Mytilus edulis: one gene and its partner. The main gene of each other region encodes a partner of the protein of the gene in region 2 in a complex. Links are inferred from orthologs where the notes say so. Each region holds a gene or a part of one and is shown on either strand. Other genes may lie near its edges.

Region 1 (8,298 bases), on a different chromosome or scaffold from region 2:
TTGCGTGCGCATGGTATATAAAATTTCAATATACATTAATTCAATTTATTTTACCTAGAACATTAATTAAGAATTGAATGCTGCTTTTTGTAAATTTATTGGGGTGTAAAAGCGTTGACCGAAGTACATTTTGTATGAAGCGCGGAAGCGCTTCATACTAAAAATGTGCGCACGGTCAACGCTTTTACAACCCTATAAAGTTACAAAAAGAAGCATTCAATACTTATAATTACATTTTTTTAGCTAGAATCATGAAAACACGTTTTTTATCAAGTCTTTATATAATTTACCTGTGCACTTTATTGTGGGACCTCGTGTCATCGTGAATGATAAATGTTATTGTCTCATACAATTGTTTCAGGAATAGCACGTGATGTGCAGTTAGCCAATCAGAATAACGTATTATAATGAAACATACATCTAATGTAATTATTTAGGTATAAAAAAAAAAAAATTCTTTGATCAGTAGCAACTTATTTTGCCGACACGGGACGTTTGCGTTTTTGATACAACATTGATAATATTTTATGGGCATTTTCGCTTCAATTTTATGGACGTTTACGCTCAATTAAGGGCATACGCTACAGTTTTGATCCCGTATTTAAGTTTGATGAAAATTTATATATAGGCTAATTTTTTTTGCCTGATTAAATCAAATATGTAATAAAAAATATACCTTTATATGCTACTTTTTGAGTTAAATGAGGTCGAAATTTTGTATATTTGCTCAAAATTCGGATTTGTGGCCGTATTTTCCCTTTCGAAAGAAAGCCATATTTTTTTTTTTTTAAAAGATAAACACAAATTGTTTTTTGTTAAATAATTTGTAATTTCTGTATTTTATAAATATCCTAAAAACTTATGAATTTTTTATTAAGAAATAACTCATATTTATCAAATGGTCATGAATTGAGAAAAAAAAACGTATTTTTTTGCTGTATATTTATCAACATTAAAAAAAATGCACTATTTACAGTTTTATAAAATTTGGTTCACATAATCTCCCTGCAAAATGAAACAATATGTCGTTTTAAAAAATAGGAGTCCATGCACTCGTTTTCAAATTAAATCAGTTTGAATGATAAAAATCAGTCGAAAAATGCATCTTTTCCCGGTATGTCACAGTTTGACGTCGCGAAAATAACAGTTTACGTTAGCAACGTCATGATCTCCACTGTAACTGTATCGTATGCCCTTAAAAAATAAAATTCACTTAAACAAAAGAATATTTGCGGTTTATAAACATAAGATTTGATATCACTTATACTGAGTTAATGTAGTTGGCGGATGCTGTTCAAAAGTAAAATCACAAAAATACTGAACTCAGAGGAAAATCAATTCGGAAAGTCCATAATCACATGGCAAAATCAAAAACCAAAACGCATCAAAAACGAATGGACAAGAACTGTCATATTCCTGACTTGGTACATGCATTTTCAAATGTAGAAAATGGTGGATTGAACCTGGTTTTATAGCTAGCTAAACCTCTCACTTGTATGACAGTCGCATCAAATTCCATTACATCATCGTCACCGATGCGTGAAAAATACTCTTCAAAGACACAAAAACATAAAAGATACATTAACGGGGTGATAAAATAAAATATAATATTACATATTACCAAGTAACTACCAATGATGACCGATTTATATTAAAGAAATACCACAGTATGCAGAAATGTTTAAAGTTTTTATTGTTAATTTCGCAATGATATTTTTCAGGCTCATCTTAATTTTCTGACAAGGTGAACAAAAAAGAAAAAAATATTTCTGGAAAGGTTTGTTTTGCTTCGGTTTCTAACCAAACTGAAATCGTAAAAATTTGTTATTCAACCAATAGAAAATGAAAACTAACCTCACGAAAATCATGGCCAAATATACAATAAAAAAATCACACATTTCTACATCTTACGGTATTCATTTTATAAAGAAATGCTCATAAAAAGTACTTGGTAATACATTTTTTGAAAAATATCGATTTAAGTTGAAATATTTTTGATTGGAAACTCACTTTTGTCCACCATCTGTACTAGGTTACAGAAATCTAACATAAATACCTGTGCACTAATGGCCGAGCTTTTCATGAATTGAATTGGGATATTGTTTGCTACATTCGAATGATGCATTCGTTAAATTCTGAAACCTAGGTATGCCTCGAACCTTATTGTTCCCATCTCAAACACGCCTAAATTTGTCGTGAATGAAAAATGATAATTCTGTTTTCATATATTTTTTTTATAAATAAAAAGCGCAAACGCACCGTCGGTTTATCAAACTGTTTAAAAGATCACCTAGAGGGACGATAGATACCAGAGGGACAGACAAACTCATAAATCTAAAATAAACTGACAACGCCATGGCTAAAAAGGAAAAGGACAAACAGACAAACAATAGTAGACATGACACAATATAGAAAACTAAAGAATAAACATCACGAACTCCACCAAAAACTAAGGGTGATCTCAGGTGCCCCGGAAGAGTAAGAAGATTCTGCTCCACATGTGGCACCCGTCGTGTTACTTATGAGATAACAAATCCGGTAAATAGTCTAATTCGGTAGGTCACAATCATGAAAGGGGAGGGGATTGTAGTTATGACGTAATGAACATATCCGATATCATTTGTGAAACGGTTATTCCATAACGGACAACCAACTCGTGATGGCGTCCGTAAAATTTACGAAGTGATGATTTCAACTTCACCATTTGAAACTCTTGATTTAATAGCTTCCTTGTGAGCAACAACCCTCTATCAAGAAAATCATGATAGGAAATGCAAGCACGGGAATATCGTATCAATTGGGAGATATATAAACCGTATGCAGGCGCTTCTGGAATGTTGCTACATAGAAATGGAAAGTTCACAATTGGAAAGCTGAAATCATCTCTTTTTTCGTAAAGTTTTGTTTTCAATTGACCCTCATTGTCAATTTCTAGATGTAAGTCAAGATATGAGGCCGACTTAACTGTATCTGTTGTATCCTTTATCTCTAGTAGAATTGATAGATGCGTTCAACATAGTCACAAAATTTTGCTTTGAGTGAAAGAACATCATCTTTATAGCGGAAAGTAGAGTTAAAGTCTTTCTTCCTAAGAAGTTCCTGTATGAATTCAGCCACATAATAATAAAGAAAAAAGTCGACAAGAAGAGGGGCACAATTCGTTCCCATTGGAATGCCGATAGTTTGTTGGAAATCACATCCTACGAACGTAACAAATATATTGTCAATCAAGAAATCAAGCATCTTGATAATGTCAGTTTCAGATTTTTTTTGTTTGAATCAGAGTGATCCTTTACAAAGTAGGATTTATCCCTTCCTAAGACAAGGTACTTGTATCTTCGTTGCTTGGCCATTCTTTTTTATGAAACAAAGCAATATCAACTCTTTCAATTTGTCTTTTAGTTTGGAATGAGGAATACTTGTATAAAGTGTATAAAAATATAATGTTTTAATACTATTACAAAATGAAAGAGAGTTAGATTGTGTGTACTCCAAAAGATCTTTGAAATTTTTAAGTATCCACATCTGATTCACGCCACCTCTAGAATAGGCAGTTTCACAACTTAGTAAAGTGGACAAGTAAAAAAATATATGAAAAATAACTGCTAAAAGTAAAAATAATAATTTTCCTTTAATTGTATGTTAAAAGTCTTAAACTGTAAACTTCCCATGTAAAAGTCAACATAAAACCTGTAAACCTCCTTTATAAAAACACATGAAGACTTAAAAAATGTATATAGTGTATCTAATGTTGTTGTGTTACGATTGTTAATTTATTCTTCAATTATTTTTTTGGTGGTGGAACTGTTCGACATACAAAGTATGGTTACCCTATAAAGGGTGTAAAGATCCAGAGAAGAAGAAGGACATGTCCATAGTTTTGGGGCGCAAAACACGCAAAAGTCCTGAGATAAAATTTCCTCGATTATTGTTTTAAAGTCCAACACTTGAATTTTTCACTTTGTCATTGGTTAGAACAGGCGAATATATAAAACAATTAATGCATAGCCCACTTTTGCAATCCAGTATTTTTCATTTTAAAAAAAATGCAGATTCAGGCGGCTATGCCCTCCCCTCCCCCTTGCATGGTAAAAATGTGGTTGGTTATACAGTGAATCACTGAAGCATTAGTGTAGTGGGTCCCCTCTTATGGCAGTTATTGGCACTGTGCCTCCTAACAAAATGTCGGTATGGATCCGCCATTGTTAGATTTTGCTTTTCTTATCTTTTGGCTAAATTTCATCATGGAAAATTCACAAATGCTTATAATCAAAATAAGTTATAATAAAATGGAAACAAAATAACAAAAGAAAGCTGCACGACAACATTTTGGAAAATATATTTGTCCGTTGCTGTGCTATACTTTTTAAAGTGATTTTGAAGTTTTAAGATTTACCATTAAAAGCTCTTCACTGTGAAAACAGAAACAGTGTACATCATGACAGACGTAAGATTTTATTTTATTTTTTAGTTTATTCTCTACTATCAGACACATTGTTTATTGAATTTTAAAAGAAATCAGGATCGTGAGTTCAACTGTGAAAAAGATTTCATACCCAAATGCCAGGCCTAACTGTCGTTTTGCCGCATAGCGAAAACTTCAACTTGAAAATTATGGGAGGGTCTTTTCAGATGAAGTTCCTTTATCTTCCAAATTATACTGGAACTACTCTACTTAGATAGGTACTACATGATGAGCTCCCGAAGTTTAATAGTGTATGTTGTTTTTTTAATCTATAATCTGGTGTTTTTTATCCAATTATGAATACAACCTGTTACCTGTTACCTAATCTTTATCTTCCTCCTCTAGCAGGAGCTTCGCTTTTATAGCGTAATTCTTATTTGCAGCCTTATTTGCACCCTATCCCTTACACACTGGGCACTCATAAAATCAGTATACGTAGTTATTATAATGTATAACAGTAACATATATACAGCATGCGAACTAATCCGTCACCATGTAAACAAGGTTAACTATATATATATTACACAGTCCAATCGTTCATAGCTGGTTCACTATTTATATCTCCATATCACATAGGCTTAACAATTCTACATATATAGCACTCCTGCCCTCACATTAGCATTTACTGTTCAAACACTATCCTCATTATCTTTAAATCTAAAAACTAGTTCAAGTGTCAAGGAATTCCCAAATAAAGATTATTTTTTTCTGTCCTTATCCATGTTATCATGGTTGATAAAGTTGTTAAAAGAATCAGAAAATGTGCTTCCTGATAAGTATATTATTATTGAATCCTGTTTTCATGCATTGCCAGGGGTCTACGACCTTCCACTGTTGCAATTGGACTATTGTTTCAGTTACTAGCTATGCCAGACGGACCTTCGATTAAAATAAAATAAAAACTAAACTTTGCTGTCCTTTTTAACCATCAGTATCTTAATTTCAAAACCATATTATGATTGAAATTGAGATAATTAAATGTTTCAAGCAAAAGCCTTGAAGATGATGAACGTCATCATGGTCATTTACGTGAACAAAACAAAAGAAATAGAAATGAAGATCTCACTATGCATGTTATAGACTAAAAGAAGATTTTGAAAATTAGGGAGTGATATAATAATTTAAGCCCTGTTAGATCAACTATATTTTGATGAATTGACTGGTCTAATGTCGTGTACATACTGCCTACAGTTTTCATTCGTTAAGATAAAGAAAGTGCACTTGAACAGTCTTCACGATGAACTGTTAAATCTACAGGCCAGGAGCTCAATTTTTGAAATTTTTTAGTGAGATTTTGTTGGCCTGCAGATATGATTTTTACAGGCCCAAGAGCAATTTTACAAGCCTGGGCTGCCAGGGCTGCCCCTCAGCGAGAAGACTGCTTGAAGGGTTACAAAAAATCATAAAATAGACCCAATAATAATACAAAAATTGACAACCCAGCATTTATCTGGTTTAAAGCAGTGGATCCATGAGAGTGACCCAAATTTTAAGTCTTAAGCCTTACCATGCTTAATTGTTATCAGCAATTGTCTAAATTTCGAGTATTTGCAAAAATATGCAAATGATATGCAAATGAGCTGTACCCTGATGCTGATACATACTTATAACAATAAATCTAAGATAGGGGATCGCAGGGTGGGGTAGGGGGGAATTTGCCCCAAAGTTGGTCCTCAGGTGCAAAAAGCGTCTATTTTGACGTTTTTTTTTTCTTTTTCTCGACCTGTAAGTCCAAGGGATGCTAATACATGTAATAGATGCATCCATCTGTAGTTTTTATGTAGAGTGGACCCCAGTGAACACTTTTATCACAACAGTTGTTAGGTCGGAGTGAAACTGATCTGGGTTCATCAGTGTATAGAAGGTCATTTGCACCAAAATTCACAAAATTTCTGATTTTTTTCAATTTTGAACTTTAACTGGATTTGCAACCTGAAGTAGTCGTTTCCTAGGCGTATTTTGATAATAAACACAATCAGTCGTCTGGGCCTTTAGGTAAACAGTATTTGTCAAGGTTTCAGTCCTCTTAACTCCATGTTTCAGACCTCGAAGGTAAGCCCATCCCTCCAAAAAACCCAATTTTGTCCGATATCTAATTTTGAAGTTCGTATTTGAGCTCAAAATGAATATTAAAAGTGACAAACATGACAATCAGTAGTGTCAGATTGAGGAAACTTGCATACACTACGAATTAAATGGCATTATGATGACCTTCAAATGTATGGAGCGCCATTAATGCCTAAATAACGGTGGTCTGGATACGGCCGTAACATTACAGCCCCCGCACGACAAGGGTTAAGATTTATTGTCAAGCATGAAACATGGACAATTTATTCTCAAACAGCAATGTAAGCCTGATCAGTTAAATAGATGTAAGGTTCTTGCAAAAAAGGGAATCCCCTCAGTGACTATGAATTTATTCTTGAAATCCATAGCAAAAATGATGTTGATATTGGTTAGCACTACTTCAATATTTGAGGTTGAAAACTGTTTATAAGCTGGAAAGTTCATTTTATGAGAAACAAAATGAGTTTATGAGTTATGTAATATTTCTTATAAAAGTAGGACCTGGGATTTTGGTTGTGGACCTTTCACTTTTTTCACATTCAACCAAATGTTGATTTGAACCCCTGATGGGGTACATTGGCTTTCATCTGTCCCTCTATTACACATGTATGACACATTTTTCCAAGAAACTAAAATTCTGTTAGTATATATATAACACCTTGGTTCTTCTGGTTTTGAAATAAACATAGTGTGAAGTGTCAATTCCTTAGTCTTTAGAAGAGGGTCAAAAGATGCCAGAGGGACAGTCAAGCTAATAGATCAAAAATAAGCTGACACCGCTGTTACTAAAAAACAAAAAGACAAAGAGACAAATGATAGTTCAAAGACACAACATAGAAAACTAAAGACTAAGCAACACGAACCCCAGCAAAAGGGATGTGGGTGGAGGTTGATCTCAGATGCTCCAGAAGGGTAAGCAGATCAACCCACTTTCTTTGTCAATTTCTAGATGTCAGTCAAGATATGAGGCAGACTTAACTGTATCTTTTGTTTCCTTTATCTCTAGTTTGATGGGATAGAAGTCAACAACCTTCAGAGTTGGTTAAGTTATAGACTTATAGAGCAATAGCTCAAAGTACATCTTTGAAAATCTGTTTGAATTTTTTTTTGAAAAAGAAGGAAATGCAGAACTAGTATATATTTGTTTAGGGGCCAGTTGAAGGACGCCTCCGGGTGCGGGAATTTCTGGCTACATTGAAGACCTGTTGGTGACCTTCTGCTGTTGTTTTTTTCTATGGTCGGGTTGTTGTCTCTTTGGCACATTCCCCATTTCCATTCTCAATTTTAGACATAAGTTTTTATATAAAACAGTGTATGAATTTAAACTTACATAAGCTAGCTAGAAATCTAAACATTAAGAAGTTACACAGTTTGTACATTTGTAGGTGTGGACTTACTGAAAATAACTAGGGGGACGGCAAACTTCTTATAGTTACAAGCAAATTAATCTTTTCTATAGTCTTAATAGTCTCAGAGAAAGTCCGTCAATCCTCTTATATTTTTAAGGCCTCGCCTAGGGGCAGTATGATTATCTGTCTGTGCATCAGTTCGTCTTTCTGTTCATCCTTCTGTCTGTCCTGTTTCAGGATAAACATTTGGTCAAGGTAGTTTTTGATGAAGTTGAAGTACAATCAACTTTAAACATAGTACACATGTTTCCTATGATATGATCTTTCTAATTGTAATGCCAAATTAGAGTTTTGACCCCATTTTCATGGTCAACAAACTTAACATAAAAAATGATAGATTGAGTGGGGCATCCATGT
Region 2 (8,203 bases):
AGTAGGAAGTTTTATTCCTTTTATATTAGGATTGTTTCTCTTTAATACCTATTATAACTTAAGAATATTAGCAAAAAATACATTGGAAATCATCATTTAGGGGCAACAACTCTAAGAAGGATTAATTTGCAGGTTATAGCAATTACTACATATTTTGTCATATACATTTGTTCTTATAATATGAATAATAATTCAATGTACTTTTTCAAATCAACAGCAAGTTTTCTTGATAATGATAAGCTATAATCTTACAAACATTTTGCCGAGTTACTCACCAGAGATCCCTGTATCTTTTCACTTGTATAAAATGCTAAAAAGAAAATTTTATGATGCAATTACATGTACTATGAAAAATAAGTAGATTTCAGTTATTTTAAATAACTGAAATCAACTATTGTCAGCCTTGTACTTTTATCATGTTTATAGCAGATAACAAAATACTTTCTAATATAATTGAAAAGAAACCCCACAAAGGTATCACAATGTGGCTGATATTTAACACAACAGTCTCATTTCATCCATTAGCAAAATTAGATGCATACTCACTGTATGAATACATCAAAATAATGGGAAAGTGTGCTACATGTTGCAATAAAATTTAGAATGGAAACAGGGAATGTGTCAAAAAGACTGACTCAAACAAAGAGCAGAAGTCTACAGAAATCTTTTGCAAAGAATTTCTCTCAAACCAGTGCTAGGGACCGTCTATTACTTGCTGTGCAGTGAGTTGTTTTTTTGCTTCATGTTAAAGGCCTCACATAGACTTAAAGATGAAGAACATCAATAAAAGCCTGTTTCTTTGCTTTTTGTGTTTTTTTAGACTAATTAATAATAAGCATGTACTGCTTTTTAGGTCATGGATTATTACCTCATATATCTTTTGTTTATCTTTTTTATAATGAAAGTCAATCTCTTACTTAAGGCTTAAGCATGTTATTTTTCTTGATTTCACTCCTTCTGTTCAGTCATTGCATTGCTATTGCTTGATTTATACCCCACATATTGTTTTGTTTTATATCATTTTTTGTTTCAGTTGGAAACTAAAATAAGTAGTTAATCAAGTTAATTCCACAAACTCTAGGAGGGCTGGATAGGGTTTACAGCATCTAGGTGCTAAGGTGGGGATAGGACCTTTATCAGGACTCCGGGATCAGGTGTTTTTAAGCTCAGGATTTCGGGATTGACCCTTTAAGGATTCAGGAATTCTTTTTTTCGAATTTCAGGATGTAGGGATTTAAATTTATCAAAATTTGTGACCTCATTATTTCGTGTTTTTAAGCCTGGGATTTCAGGATCAGAACCCTATCTACCACCGTGACCCCTCAATCTAAAATAATGAGTAATAACTACAGAAAACTGGTCCTAAAAAAAAGAGAAAAATATGACAAAAATATAGTGAATAGAGAAAAATGGCCGAAACATTCAAAGAATGCATGAATGAAGACTTCCCCATCCAAACCTTTTATGTTACAATAAGTTATATTAATTCAAGACCATGGTATAACACTGTACCTGGAACATTTCTGTCTATATGTAGAGTGAAGTAGGACTGTAGATTGGTCAAGTCTTTTCCTTTGTGTCCTGGCCAACATAAATTTCTTAAAGCTAGACATCTTAAATGTCTTAGTCTTCTCTGAAAATAACAATATTGAAATTAACAACATATAGCTTTCTGTCATGTCTTTCCAGCCACTGACTATCTGTCCTTTGTTGACCAGCAAAGACCAGTTTTTATTGCAATGTCTTGTCCAAATTTTTAATAGACCAGTATTTCCTTTTATTTACTGAACTAAGGCCTATTCACTACTAGTATTGACTATTTTTTCCAACCTTGTTATAAATATGAAGTTATGGATTTCAAGCTTTATTTTACTTGTGATGTCATAGATAAATGTCAACTGTACCCTATTCATACTGAAACATTCATTCTTATTTTTATTCTGTAATTGATTTACTTGTATAATTTTTCTTAAGGTTTATGTACCCTTCTGTAGCCATTTTTGTACGAACTTTTCAAACTTCAATTGTATCAAAACTACAGATATAATGAATAATAGAGATAGGTCATTTTGTACATATTCCAAGGGGAAACTTGATGCAAAGCATTATTTTTTACTGTTCCATTGCATTTAATAGAAAAAGAGGACTTTGTGGCAAATAAATCAAGATTTTTATAGAAAATCCACAGCCTTTATCCTTCATGTCCTTGTACTCTCATATTTGGCAATTTGATGACTGATAGATATAGGATTATTGCATGCAGTGCTAGCATTGATTTCCTTAAAACAAGTTTATAAATGTAGTTATTGGTTAAGACAAGTATAAATATGGCCAAAATCAAGTACACCTTTTAGGGTGCGCTCGACTTTAGTGACTTAGCACGAGGTGTTTTGGAATTTACAGGTTACTTAGAACTTTTTGTAAAAAATAAACACTAGCACATCATAGAAAATCAAGTGAGTAATTTATGTTTCAAATTTTATAACAAAAATCTCTGTATTAAAGGCTGTGGATTTTCTATAAAAATCTTGATTTATTTGCCACAAAGTCCTCTTTTTCTATCAAATGCAATGAAACAGTAAACAATAATGCTTTACATCAAGTTTCCCCTTGGAACATGTACTAAATGGCCTATCTCTATTATTTATTATATCTTTAGTTTTGATACAATTGAGGTTTGAAAAATTCGTACAAAAATGGCTACAGAAGGGTACATAAACCTTAATGTTATTTTTTTAAATAAAATGTTACCCTCAGTACTTTGTAGACGTCATGGTATAGCTGTAGCCCAAATAATTATGAGACATTGACGTCTTGAAAGGCTATTTTGAATTTTTGCTTTGACGCCTTCCTGTGACGTAAGGCGTCACAGAAGAAAATATAATAGCCTTTCAAGACATCATACAACGTCATAATTATTTCGACTAGATACATGTATAGCTGCAGGACCATGGATCTTAGTCTCTTAGATCCTTATGATATTTTTTTGACAATTTGCACCTACATGTATGTTAAATATATATTTTAAATAAATCAAATCAGAAGGACCTCAGAGCTACGGTTCCGAAGCTAGATTTATATCGGAATAAAATGGAATGAAGAATAGCTGAAAGAAATATTTTTGGGAAGAGTCCAAATATTTATGATGTCTTGGAAAGCTATTTCAAATTTTTTACTTTGACACCTTCCTGTCAATGTTAGGAGCAAAGAAAACATATAATAGCCTTTCAAGATGTCATAATAATTTATTTGGACTATATACTTCATTTACTTTTAGCTAAATTATTATGTACACACTTTGCACAACCAGATGCACATTCACATGAGCCATGTCAGATTATTCGTATGAAAAGTCGCATAAGAAATTGGAAACCAAAATGTTTGTATCGTCGGTGTCGGTAATTATTTGAATATTGTTTCATTATTTAGTTAAGGTTCATCATAACCTTTTGGCTAAAATGGCCGTATTTATACCCCAAATTTTACTCTGAGTACAGACTAACCTATACACCTGCAACAGTTTTAAGGGATGGCAGGAACTAGATATATAAATTTTAAATGCATTTTATGTTTCAGAAAATTATAAACTTTTCTAGATTTTGCTATCCATTTTTTTTCGTTCCTGCAGAAGGTGCAAAAATTAACTAAGTAGTGAAAACGATTGAGAAGCTCCCCTCATATAATCAATGTTGTGAGTAGTATTGATTTAAATGGACAATAGATGGACAATAGACACCTGTAAACAATAGGTGATTTAACAGGTTTAAACTGTGTAACTGAGTGGACCGTATCAAACGAAACTCGGGTGTTTGTTTATTTTGCTATCTTCTGCAGACTGGAAAAAAATGAACATCAAAATCCAGGTAAGTTTATAATTTTCTGAAACGTAGACTTCATATAACTTTTATATATCTAGTTCCTGCCATGCCTTAAAATTTTCCTGGATGTACCAGTTTGTCTGTACTCATAGTAATTTTGGAGGTGTAAACACGGCCATATTTTTCAATTCCTTATGATGAACCTTAATTTGCAGCCAGAGCCTGTTTTTCAAATAAATTACCTGGTATGACGATAATTCGAAGTAGTTTCTGGCTACTTTAGAAGAGTTTTCCATGTTACAATATGATAACTACATTATTGATAAGGACTCGCTTGTGTTTATGCTTTTAGAGACGTATTTGTCAGTCTAGGGGAGTTTTCGCTTTCGGAAATTTACTCCGTCCACCATTTTAAACATCTCGATTTTGATCATGTGACCCAATGTTCTCCGATTGATTTCGCTAAATTGAAGATTGCTTGCACATATTTAGGGCTAAACAATCATTTAAAATCATCCCTTGATGTCTTACTACACTGGTAACGAAATCAAAACAATCAAATATACAAATAGTTGAAGATTTTTCGATTCCGAAGACGAGACTACAGATCATGTGATCGAATAAATTATCTACCGGAAGTTTAATAAGCAGACAGCAAACAGGTGCCCTAAGTTGATAAAAGTTATATTGTTTGAAACAACAATGAACTATAACATCATCTTTTTATAAAAGTAAATATATTGTTATGAGAAACAGTCATATATCTTTTATTCAGCAATCAGTTGACTATTGTAAAACTTTAAAGATAAACTCAATTGACAATAAATAAATAATATATAAATTTTAATTGTAGTACAAATTTGTTCAATTGTATTACAGTGTAATGAACCCCCATACTGCCATAGTCATATCACAGGCACTTGTTTATATCCATTGGAAGACCCACTATCAAAATATATTTACATAAATATACGTTGATAGTGGGTCTTCCAATGGATAGAAACAAGGGCCTGTGGCCATTATAATTACTGGATATCACACAGGTTCAAGAGCTCACCAGAGCTCATGTTTTCTCTGTTATTATGTATATATATGCCGACTCTAAATAAAATTTACTTACTTACTTACTTAGGTTCCTGTAAAATTTTGTTGTCATAAAACAAAATATCTGACACCACAAAATTAATAGAAAAGTGATTGTTGTATGACATCAAAAGTTCAAGCAGCCGTGTCAGCCAAGAATTGTGATAAGGAGTATTGATTAATAAATCCGTGCATTTATACAAATACAGTGGCGTCTCCAGTGTCTGCGTGGCTGGTGATATCGCCCAAACTTGATTATCTCATATCTGCAATGTATTAGACATAGAATAGGTCTTGTTATTGTTTTAGTCTTCCAAAGGGACAGAAAATATTAAAATCAATACATGTAATAAGTTCATGAGTAAATTTATTACTGGAATCCTATAGCTACAATTATAACCATATTTAGCCAATTTCCCATAAAAAAAATTACATCATCAAATAAAAGTTGTTTTTGTTTAAATCAAATTTAGATTAGATCTGTCAAAACAAATTTTGCTCTGCAGCATTGACAATCTGGTTCAAACTTGATTGTATTTCGTCATATAAATCATGCCTTTATTAAAATAAATATGCAGTAACTCACCAGCCATTTGTGGAACTCTCATAACAGAGTTTTTACTAATTTTGGACCGTCACATTTTCAGGGTCCCAAAGTAAGCCTATCCTTCAGAAAAAAACCTGAGTATTCCGACACACTGCTTAATCCAACATTATTTTTCTGTATCCCCAATTACACAGGTTACATAGTAATGTGAAGTCATACGTAAGTCATAGGTGCACAGATATTAATAATTCGCTTCACCAGTATTCATGGTATTGGCAGTAATTAATGCAGTTTTCAACATAAAAAGTCTCATTTAGAAAATCTAAGAGTAGAATTTTTATGACAAAATAATTCTGAAGTCTTGGAAAGCTCTAGTCAGTAGTCGGTACCCAGGAAAAAAAACATATATACAAAAATGGACCACTGATGAATGTCTTCTTCAAACTAAGCAAATGATATCTAATACACTTAATCCATTTTGGAATTCTGTGTTTGAAGCAAGGATGGCGAAATCAGAAAATCTCCATTACAGATTAGTGGTCACTCTGATATTTCTACGTCCCATTGTTACATTAAATTGAACTGAGAATGGAAACGGTGTATGCAATAGATAGACATCAACACAATCAAAAAGCTGAAACAGCCCAAGGCCACTATAAATAGCTAGATGTAATGCAGCAAAACAAAATGCAGTACCTGTAGAAAGCCATAGCTGGCCCCTAAACAATGATATATACTAGTTCAACACAAATGAAAACCACACTAAGGCCAAAAGAACAATATATGTGTTTCCTATATTACATGATCATCTTTGAAAAAAGTAGGGTAGGTAAATGTAGGTAGGGACTTATTTTTATTTTACCATTTTTTTTTCTCACATAGAGTCTATGGGAGGAACATTCTGCTTTAACAGTGCATATTGGAAAAAAATACACAAAAAAACGGGTACATAGGCTATTTTTTTAATTTGGCATAAACTTACAAAACATATAAATGAACCAAAAATTGTAATCCAATCTAATTAGTGATATTAGTAAGTAAGGATAATAAACTAATACTATTCATGCTTAATTAAGGACACAGTCTTAGCAATAATATAAATTGATAACTGATATTTTTCTACAACTTGGTAAGAAGTAGCACACAAAACAGAGTCCTTGAATAGTATCTCTTTGTATAATGACCACTAGTTTAGTGACAATTAAAACATGTACATCATATTATTTCAGATCAGAAAATAGAAAATGACCACTGCACAAGGAATAGACAAGATTCATGACTCTCATGGTTACCTGGTGCTAACTGATGATGGGGCTGTTCTAAGTGTGAGTTTTTTTGTAGTATTGGTACATGCATATATATTTGTTTTGCTTTTGTTGGAAAAAATTCTAACTACTAATTAAAGAAAAGAATAAAAAAATACATTGCATATTCGTTAGGAAAACAATTTTAACAGTACAAGTTTTAATCTTCCCTCATTTTTGTCCATCCTGCAACTTTTGTTGCAGAAAACTCAACATAGGGATAGTGATCCAGCGGCGGCGGCTAAAAGCTTTATATTTTAGTAGGTGGAAGATCTGGATGCTTCATACTTGGTATATGGATGCCTCATGTTGCAAAGTTTCCGTCAGTCACATGTCCACTGTCCATGACCTCATTTTAATGGTTCAGTGACTACTTGAAAAAAAGTTTAGATATTTTGTAAAGTTAAATTCTCTCTTATTATAAGTAAAAGAATAACTATATTTAGTATGTGCGTACCTCGCAAGGTCCTCATGCACGTCAGACAGTTTTCACTTGACCTCAACCTCATTTCATGGATCAGTGAACAAGGTTAAGTTTTGGTGGTCAAGTCCATAGATCTTTTAAAATAATGTTTGTGCAGACATTTCACATTTCTCATTTTAATATCAACTTATCAAGTGTGTCCACGTATGCACTCTATGTTTCCTGGTCCTATATTTGGTTGAAATCCAGACGATATTGTCAAATTTCTCGAAAATCTCTTATCTTGACCTTTTTGAGATATTAAAATCAACGTTTTAGAATTAAACTTTGACAAAAATAGCACCATTTAACTTTCTCATATATGTCTTAAAGCCAACTTAAAACAGTTTTTGTCTTGTAACATTGAACTTTATAATCATGGCCAAATATGGCCCTTACCGAACCTACTCCTTTATCAAAGATTAAGATATATTGAAGTGATGTGCACCTGCTATTATGAAATTGGGGAAACGGAAGAGTGGGGGGGGGGATGGTGGTGACAGTTGAATATGCTTGAAATATTTGCATGTGGATGTATAACTATCAATCAATCATTTCAACATTTCAAAGGTATATTATATTATCAATTTTAGTCAGGAGGAGACTTACAAAATGCAGAATCTATAGCTGAAAAAGTTCTGAAGCTAGTTCATACAGCAAACAGAATTCAAGTTACTTCAGACAAGAGAGATACTTTTAAAAGAATTTCAGGTATATACTGCTTAAAAGCTAGTTTAGATTTATCAAACACTCAGTAATGTATTTACTGTATTATGTAGGTTGTAAAGGCATAAAGTGCCAGTGCTATGAAATACTGCCAACACTTGTTGTTTGTTATCCATCATCTGCAAGCTTTTCACATTTTCTGGAATTGTTTAAATTGTTGAATATAACACTTATGTTCAATTATTTTTTTGTCTGATATGTCATTTCCGAGTTTGGGAATTTTGACTGTCAAATGAATTAAAAGCATTTTTTTTCAAATGCT

What was found. Proteins that work in one complex are often made in the same cells at the same time.
Region 1: ragulator complex protein LAMTOR4-like (region 2) and ragulator complex protein LAMTOR3-like share a complex: the UniProt entries of both Drosophila melanogaster proteins name them as parts of the ragulator complex. The link is inferred for Mytilus edulis from reciprocal best matches to the Drosophila melanogaster genes Lamtor4 and Lamtor3.

Annotation. Positions count from the first base shown.
Region 1 is NC_092352.1:54,988,061-54,996,358, reverse strand, and holds the start of ragulator complex protein LAMTOR3-like, read left to right. Parts: upstream 1-4,381; 5' UTR 4,382-4,438; coding exon 4,439-4,447; intron 4,448-8,298. UniProt on the Drosophila melanogaster protein: Regulator of the TOR pathway, a signaling cascade that promotes cell growth in response to growth factors, energy levels, and amino acids. As part of the Ragulator complex, may activate the TOR signaling cascade in response to amino acids.
Region 2 is NC_092346.1:47,804,774-47,812,976, forward strand, and holds the start of ragulator complex protein LAMTOR4-like, read left to right. Parts: upstream 1-4,418; 5' UTR 4,419-4,549; intron 4,550-6,677; 5' UTR 6,678-6,692; coding exon 6,693-6,773; intron 6,774-7,808; coding exon 7,809-7,926; intron 7,927-8,203. Other genes in the region: UV radiation resistance-associated protein-like, read right to left, coding at 276-310, 1,513-1,633, 4,061-4,114. UniProt on the Drosophila melanogaster protein: Regulator of the TOR pathway, a signaling cascade that promotes cell growth in response to growth factors, energy levels, and amino acids. As part of the Ragulator complex, may activate the TOR signaling cascade in response to amino acids.